2 linked regions of the Danio rerio genome follow. The protein of the gene in region 1 interacts with the protein of each later gene in a pairwise test. Links are inferred from orthologs where the notes say so. Each region holds a gene or a part of one and is shown on either strand. Other genes may lie near its edges. The genes, in order: vbp1 and pfdn4.

Region 1 (2,566 bases):
ATAACAAAACAATTTTAACTCATGAATAACCGCTCTTAACTTGCTAAAACTGATGAAAAGATAAAAAGGTCTTCAGCGCAGTGCGCCGCAGTCTTCCCTATACTGTACTGTAAAATAAAATAAATACAAAGATGATCTTTACCTCTTACCTGATGTCTTTAACAATACATTTTCAACGTGTTTGCAAAATGGAAATCGTATGACATCTTCCCTATCCACCTTACTCTGAGAAAAGAGTGAACTTGAGTAGGTAAACCTCAGTATTGTTGGGAAGGAGCCAAGGCAAAAAATAACATACAAATCAATTGAAATAAAAATATAAAAACCTCACAAAATTTCTCAACGTGGGCAAAAGTAATGCAAAATAATTTTGCCCAAACGAAAGTTAAGCAAAAACAACAAAAATCATAATCGTGTCAGAAAATGCACGAAAAACGAGATCAAAGGAAAAAGCGCTTTCTCTCCCGCTCTTCCCGACATGCTTTTTATATTCCCGCGCTTTGTCGCCAAATGATGATAGATCGGTCTCCTGACCAATCAGCTGTCATAAAGGCGGACCTACAGAAATAACCAGCATGGAGGGAGCAGGAGAGAGAAAACGGGAGGCAAAAATACAGCCGACTACAACTCTAACATTAGTTTCAGACACAACTGCAATGTATTTTACTGGTGAATATATCATGTAAAAACACTTTACAAACACATTTTATGTATATATTTTTTCATTAATTTAAACGGAAAGCTATCTATCTAACTGAAACCTTAGATAATCAAAAATGAGCATCATGTCTGTGTCTGCACAGAGATCAAGACTCTCACCTGAGAATGTGGATATTACTTTCACTAGTCTACACTGCAGTTATTTATTTAATTTTAGTTTACTTAGTTAAGATGGCTGCACTTAAGAGAATAGTTTTTTCTGACTAGTCTATATTGGAGGTGTTTAGTTAATTTTAGTTGTTTACTCTGGTATTCTGACTGTACTAAAAATGTGATGACAAACTTAATAATGAAAAAGTTAAGATGTTCTTGTTAGTAAGTGAATCTATTGTACCTTAGCATTGCTGTTAACATGACATCAACCCTAACTCCACAGCAAACAGAAACCGAACCGAACCGTACCAAACCAAACCGTGGCTTTAAAACCGTTAACCGAACCGTGCCTTTGGTGTATCATTACACCCCTAATTGTCAGGAGATTATTATTATAATTTTTTGTCCAGCTCATGAAATTTCAGCGATTTAGATTATTCCATTGGATAATGCATTATTACGATTAGGCAGTTTTAGCTCCATTTGAATTCTTTCATTCTTATAAACCGGTCACCAGACTGTATCCTTAACCAAGAATAACTTACCAGGATAATATACAATTTAAGAACTTTGGCTCCAAAATAACCACTGGGTTATTTCAAACACTGGGTGGTTAAAAAGTAGATAAAAGAAAAGCTTAATGTAATGTAATGTTTTTAAAAAAGCAGGTAAATGATGATGCTAAATGAAAATATTTTAATATTAATATTTTAACACATCAATAATCTAATATATACAAGAGCTGCCTGTTTTTGCATATATTAGATGTCATGGAAATCAAGCTTTCTAGTCAGTAAAAGTCAGGGAATTACATTAAACTTGATTACTTTTTTGCACTGTTGAACAAGGCACTCTACCTTTGGGACTGTCTGTTTAGTGAAATGTACACCCAGTTGCTTGGATATAATATTTTAACCCAGAATTGTTTAGCTTGACTTTGAAATCTTGTGTATAGCCATGGTTGGTGTTTTTGTGTGCTAGGCTAATGTCATGTTGGAGTATGACATTGATGCGGCCCAGGCGCTGTTGGAGAAAAACTTGGCCACAGCGTCCCGGAATCTGGACTCTCTGGAAGAGGATCTGGACTTCCTTAGAGATCAGTTCACAACCACTGAAGTCAGTATCCTTAAACTATTGCAAAAGGACAGATTCAGGTATTGTATTGTTATTTTTATGGTGATGTGCACCTTTCATTTGATCAGTCTTTCAATGACATAAATTGTTTAAAATAATACCTTTAAAATTATAACTTGTGAGATTAAGAGTCCCGATCCTACAACAGTTTGTCAAAGCTGTTTAAAAGTCTAGGTCGGAAATATATTTTAATTTTTTTAAAATAGAGCCTTATGGTAACAAATAAAATAAAATAATGGCAAAATAGTAATTTTTCTAAAAAATAAACCGTAAATAACAATTTCTTTGTTTTGATATATATAAAGAAATAATTAATCTAATACAATGTAAGACAATCTTCATTGTGATACGAAGGCTAAATGAAGATATTCTGCCTTATGACATTTGTATATATTTAGTGGTAACGCTTTTTTAAATGAGTTCTTTTTGAAACATTATTTTCTATTTAAAACGTTTTTTGTTTTTATTGTTGATGCTTTGGTAAATAAAATGTAAACATAAAATAAAAATTAAGTTGAACCATGGTGATATGCATAAAGGGTAAACTATTTGGAATTGACATTTTAAAGCAGTATTTGATTTGTAGGGGTCTGAGTTATAACATCTGCCTAGAAACCTC
Region 2 (4,609 bases), on another chromosome or scaffold:
CAGGGATGAAACAGATCTGATACAGAGGGGCAGAGCATTCGACAACCTAGGACCAGCTATTGTGAAGGCACGGTCACCTCTGCATTTCAGCCTCTACTTAGGGATGCATAATAGTCTCTGATTAGATGACCGAAAGTAACATTTAAAGGCTTAACTAGGTTAATTAGGTTAACTAAGCAGGCTAGGGCAATTAGGCAAATGATGGCTAGGCTATTGTAAAATGATGGTTTGTTCTGTGTAGACTATCGGAAAAAATAACCAAAAGGGGATAATAATTGTATCCTTAAAATGGTGCTTAAAAACTTAAAACTGCTTTTATTCTAGTCAAAATAAAACAAATAAGACTTTCTCCAGAAGAAAAAATATTATCAGACATACTGTGAAAATTTCTTTGCTCTGTTAAACATCATTTGGAAAATAAAAAAAAAATAAAAATAAAAAAAAATCAAAGGGGGGCTAATAATTCTGATCTCAACTGTATAAAAATTTATTTGTTCTTAGACATGGATAAATCTAGATATAAAGGGACAAAAAAGTACATTTTAATTCAACCCATGATTTCTCATAATTCCTTTATAAATAGGCTATTAAATATTCCTCAATTGCATAGTTTGTTATTAAGTTGGCCGTGTACTGTTTAAAAATTTTGTGAGTTTAAGTTTCAAAAAATAACCTAGCCTTTAAAATTATAGTTATTTCAAATAAGAATTAGGATAATTATTTACTTTATAGCAGAGATGCAAAAACTAGGGAATGTGGGCCAAAGTTAGAACATGTTAAGCTTTGATTTGTCCCGTCATCCCATCTGAGAAGAGATGGAGAATGATGGGGATGGTTTTGAGGTTGTCAGTTTAAATTTAATGTAGCCCTTTGCTAGTTTTTATTGTTAAAAGCTAATTGAAATTAAGTGTTTCAATTAAATTGTGTAAATTAAATCAGATTTTGTTTAAATGTACACATTGTCATCTGATAATGTAGAGACTTAGGTGAGCAAATCAAGTCAAAGACTAGTGACTAGAGTATTCAGCATTGAACTTCTAAAGAGATTGTTAATTTTTATTGCAATAAATTATCAATTAAAATGTTATTCTGCATTAGTTAATAGGATTTAAAGTGATGTTTTCTATTTATTTTAAAATATTATAAAATGAATTAGGAAATTAATTATCCAAGTCAATTTAAATGTAATATAGTTTGGTATATTTGTTCATACATATTCATGGCGCGTGACGGTATTTGATTTTTGGCCCTTTATACGAAAAGTTTGGCCATCCATTGCTTTAGAGACAACTATTAGTTATTTTTGCTTTTAACTAAAAACTCGCTTCATTTAGATTTTTCTTCCAAGAAAAGCTTCTCAAAGACTTATTGCCAAGACAACGTTGTTTCTTAAGTAAACAGCTAACGTTATCTATATTAAACATACTTTAATGTTAATATTATATATTTAATAGAAAACGAAACAAAATAAGGAAAAAACGCATTTTACACTTCCATTTCCAATGTAAACACCCATATATATGATATAACATGCGAATTCGACATTTAAATCATCAAAAGTATGTTTGTGTGGGAGTAAATCTACGGTTGTCCAGAAGATGTCAGTAAGTGTTGCTAACTAAAATCCTCAAGTCTGTATGGCTGCAGCCCAAAATCCTTGCAACAGCGGATAATTTTAAGAAAACCGACTTCAAAACGCATTTAGTTAAGCCAGTAATTTAGATTCAAACATAAAACTTCATAATTTCTTTGTCAAACGTACCATATTTTCGAAGCAGCAACCGAAACACGCAACAAACACTCAAACATCCACGTGCTCCATTCAGACGCCGTTCAGGCGCGTGCACGCAGCTCGCTTCCCGTTCAAGATGGCAGCCACCATGAAGAAAGGAGTGGTATGTGTTCCCATTATCGGCTTTCTGTCTACATTCACGTTGTTTTGTTGCTCATCCCTGAGAAACGCGTTGGTGATGCTGAAATATCTAAAATATTAAACGAAAGAGACAGCTGAGGGAAACTGAGGACGGTTTATTGTTTATTTTCACCGGCTTGGATGGCTAACGTCATATTATTCGTGCCTGTCTGTTAATGAGTTTTATTGTAATTATTTACATTTACGTTCATCGTTCTGCACCAATCTATCTATCTATCTATCTATCTATCTATCTATCTATCTATCTATCTATCTATCTATCTATCTATCTATCTATCTATCTATCTATCTATCTATCTACATTTAAATTTAGGTGGTTTTAAATCACATAATTGTATTGTCATTCTTAAATATTTCTTATAGATTGACCAGATTAACAACTTGTATATTGGGTTGTTTATTTTGTTCTTTTATATAGAGTTTAGTTTACATAAAAAAGCTTTTTTTAAATGTATAAAATGCTAAGCAAACTTATATTTGTGTAAATCACATCGAGTCTAAACCACAAAGAGTCAAGATGACAGGATTCAAATCAAAGATTTATGATTTGCTTAGCATTTATATTGTAAAATTTTAAAAGTAAATCTAAAGATACAAAGAAATGCAAATAATATGCATATTTAGCAAGGCATATTTTTTGACAGAGCTTACCGAACATCCAAAACAATGCTGAGTGTTTGTGTGTGTCCATGTGATGGTAACTTCATAATTTGAGAGCTTGTGAAACGCTTATAAAAATGTGTAAAGGAGTCAAAACAATGACATGAATTCCTATTTAAATGAAGATTTCTGATGCCTGTGTTGGTTAACATAGCAACTACATTTTTGAAAAGCATTTTTGAGTATCCTGTCATTTTTAATGTTCGCATCTTTATAAAGCACATTTAAAAACAACCAAGGTGGACCCAAGGGCTGTACATAGGAGTACTAAACACAGAGACGAAATCAGAATATAAAAGAAGCATTTAGAAAATAAAACAATAAAACATTGATCAAGGAGTATTAAAGCGAGAGAAAATAGGTGTTCAAAACAGACTTAAACACAGAAATAGAGGGGGAAAGTCTAATGTGAATTGGTGGGGTGTTCCAGAGTTTAGAACCAGCAACTGCAAATGTTCAATCACCTTGTTTTTTAAGGCATGTTCTGGTTACGTAAGTTAATTGAGATCATAAGATCTCAATGATCGAGAGGAGGTATACGGATGGAGCAAGTCTGTAAGGTACTGAGGAGCAAGACTATTGACAGCTTTGTAAACAAATAATAAAATTTTAAAATCAATTCTGTATTTAATGGGTAACTAGTGAAGTGCAGCTAAAATCGGAGTTACCGACTCATACTTGCGGGTGCCAGAGATTAGTCTAGCAGCTGCATTTTGTACCAGCTGCAGACAAGAGAGAGAAGACTGAGAAATACCAAAATAGAGTGAGTTACAGTAATCCAGTGTTATGAAGGCATGGATCATTGTTTGAAAATTTCTCTGAGATAATAATGGCTTCATTTTAGACAGTTGTTAAGGTGGTAAAATCAGGTTTTTACGACAGGACTGATCTCTTTTTAATTCTTAAATTTTCTTTAATTTAAAATTTTCATCAAACATAACACCGAGACTTCTTGCACACTGGGTAATATGTGGGGCCAAAGATCGTACATTGACATTTAACAGAGATTTTACTACGTCATCATGCAATAACACCAGAATTAATTTAAATTAAATCAAACCATAATAAGTAATGCACAATGTTTAATCAAAACTACTGCTTGAATCATAACTTGAGTTTACTTCTATTTTTAAAATATATTTATTATCTGTTTTTTGTCCTGTCTCTCTCATTCTGTTGCACTGTAAAAGCTTCTGTCACGAAAATAAACTCCTCGCATGTATGAACATACCTGGCAATAAAGCTCTGATTCTGATTCTGAACAGGCAGCAGAGGATGTCAATGTAACATTTGAGGACCAGCAAAAGATAAACAAGTTTGCCAGGAACACAAATCGGATGTCTGAACTGAAAGATGAAATCGAGGCCAAAAAGGTAATATTGTGATGCTTTTGATTTATACAGGATATAAGCTGCATTTTACTGACGCATAATCTTTATTGTGCGTAGAAATCTTTACAGAACTTAGAGGATGCCAGTGATGACCTCATGATGTGTGAGGATGATTCGATGCTGATCCCGTATCAGATTGGAGACGTGTTTATCAGTCACTCGCAAGAAGAGACGCAGGAGATGCTGGAGGCAGCAAAGGTGACTTTATTTTTTTTACACACTTTATAGGGCACTCAATACAATATACAGGAAAAACTGTGGAATGTCATTGTGGGCCATTACAAAAATTTAAAACGCTTTTGACTTGAAAAAAAAAGTTGCAAATCTAGGTCAAAAAAGTTACAATAAATTGTTAGGTTTAAACACAGGCGCTTTGTTTACATTCGTTAAAATGCGTTAGTACGATTATAAGTGGACAATGGTAAATACAGATGTAAACAGAGCTTGAGCTTGTTCACTTTTGAGCACCTTCAGAGTTAGAGGAAAACATTCGATTGGATTACTTTTATAGTGTAAACCAGGGCTATTCAATTGGCGGCCTGTGACCCGAATACGGCCCCCGAGGCACTTTGTTCCGGCCCTCCAAACAGTGTGACCAAGACATCAAAAATAAATTTAGTTCAGT

What was found.
Region 2: the proteins of vbp1 (region 1) and pfdn4 interact in binary tests that used the Homo sapiens proteins (3 or more experiments, as listed by UniProt). The link is inferred for Danio rerio from reciprocal best matches to the Homo sapiens genes VBP1 and PFDN4.

The regions. Positions count from the first base shown.
Region 1 is NC_133182.1:23,873,413-23,875,978, reverse strand, and holds part of vbp1 (prefoldin subunit 3), read left to right. Parts: intron 1-1,794; coding exon 1,795-1,933; exon of another isoform or gene 1,934-2,290; intron 2,291-2,461; exon of another isoform or gene 2,462-2,566. UniProt on the Homo sapiens protein: Binds specifically to cytosolic chaperonin (c-CPN) and transfers target proteins to it. Binds to nascent polypeptide chain and promotes folding in an environment in which there are many competing pathways for nonnative proteins.
Region 2 is NC_133198.1:41,423,182-41,427,790, reverse strand, and holds the start of pfdn4 (prefoldin subunit 4), read left to right. Parts: upstream 1-1,602; 5' UTR 1,603-1,868; coding exon 1,869-1,895; exon of another isoform or gene 1,896-1,899; intron 1,900-3,858; coding exon 3,859-3,966; intron 3,967-4,041; coding exon 4,042-4,182; exon of another isoform or gene 4,183-4,609. UniProt on the Homo sapiens protein: Binds specifically to cytosolic chaperonin (c-CPN) and transfers target proteins to it. Binds to nascent polypeptide chain and promotes folding in an environment in which there are many competing pathways for nonnative proteins.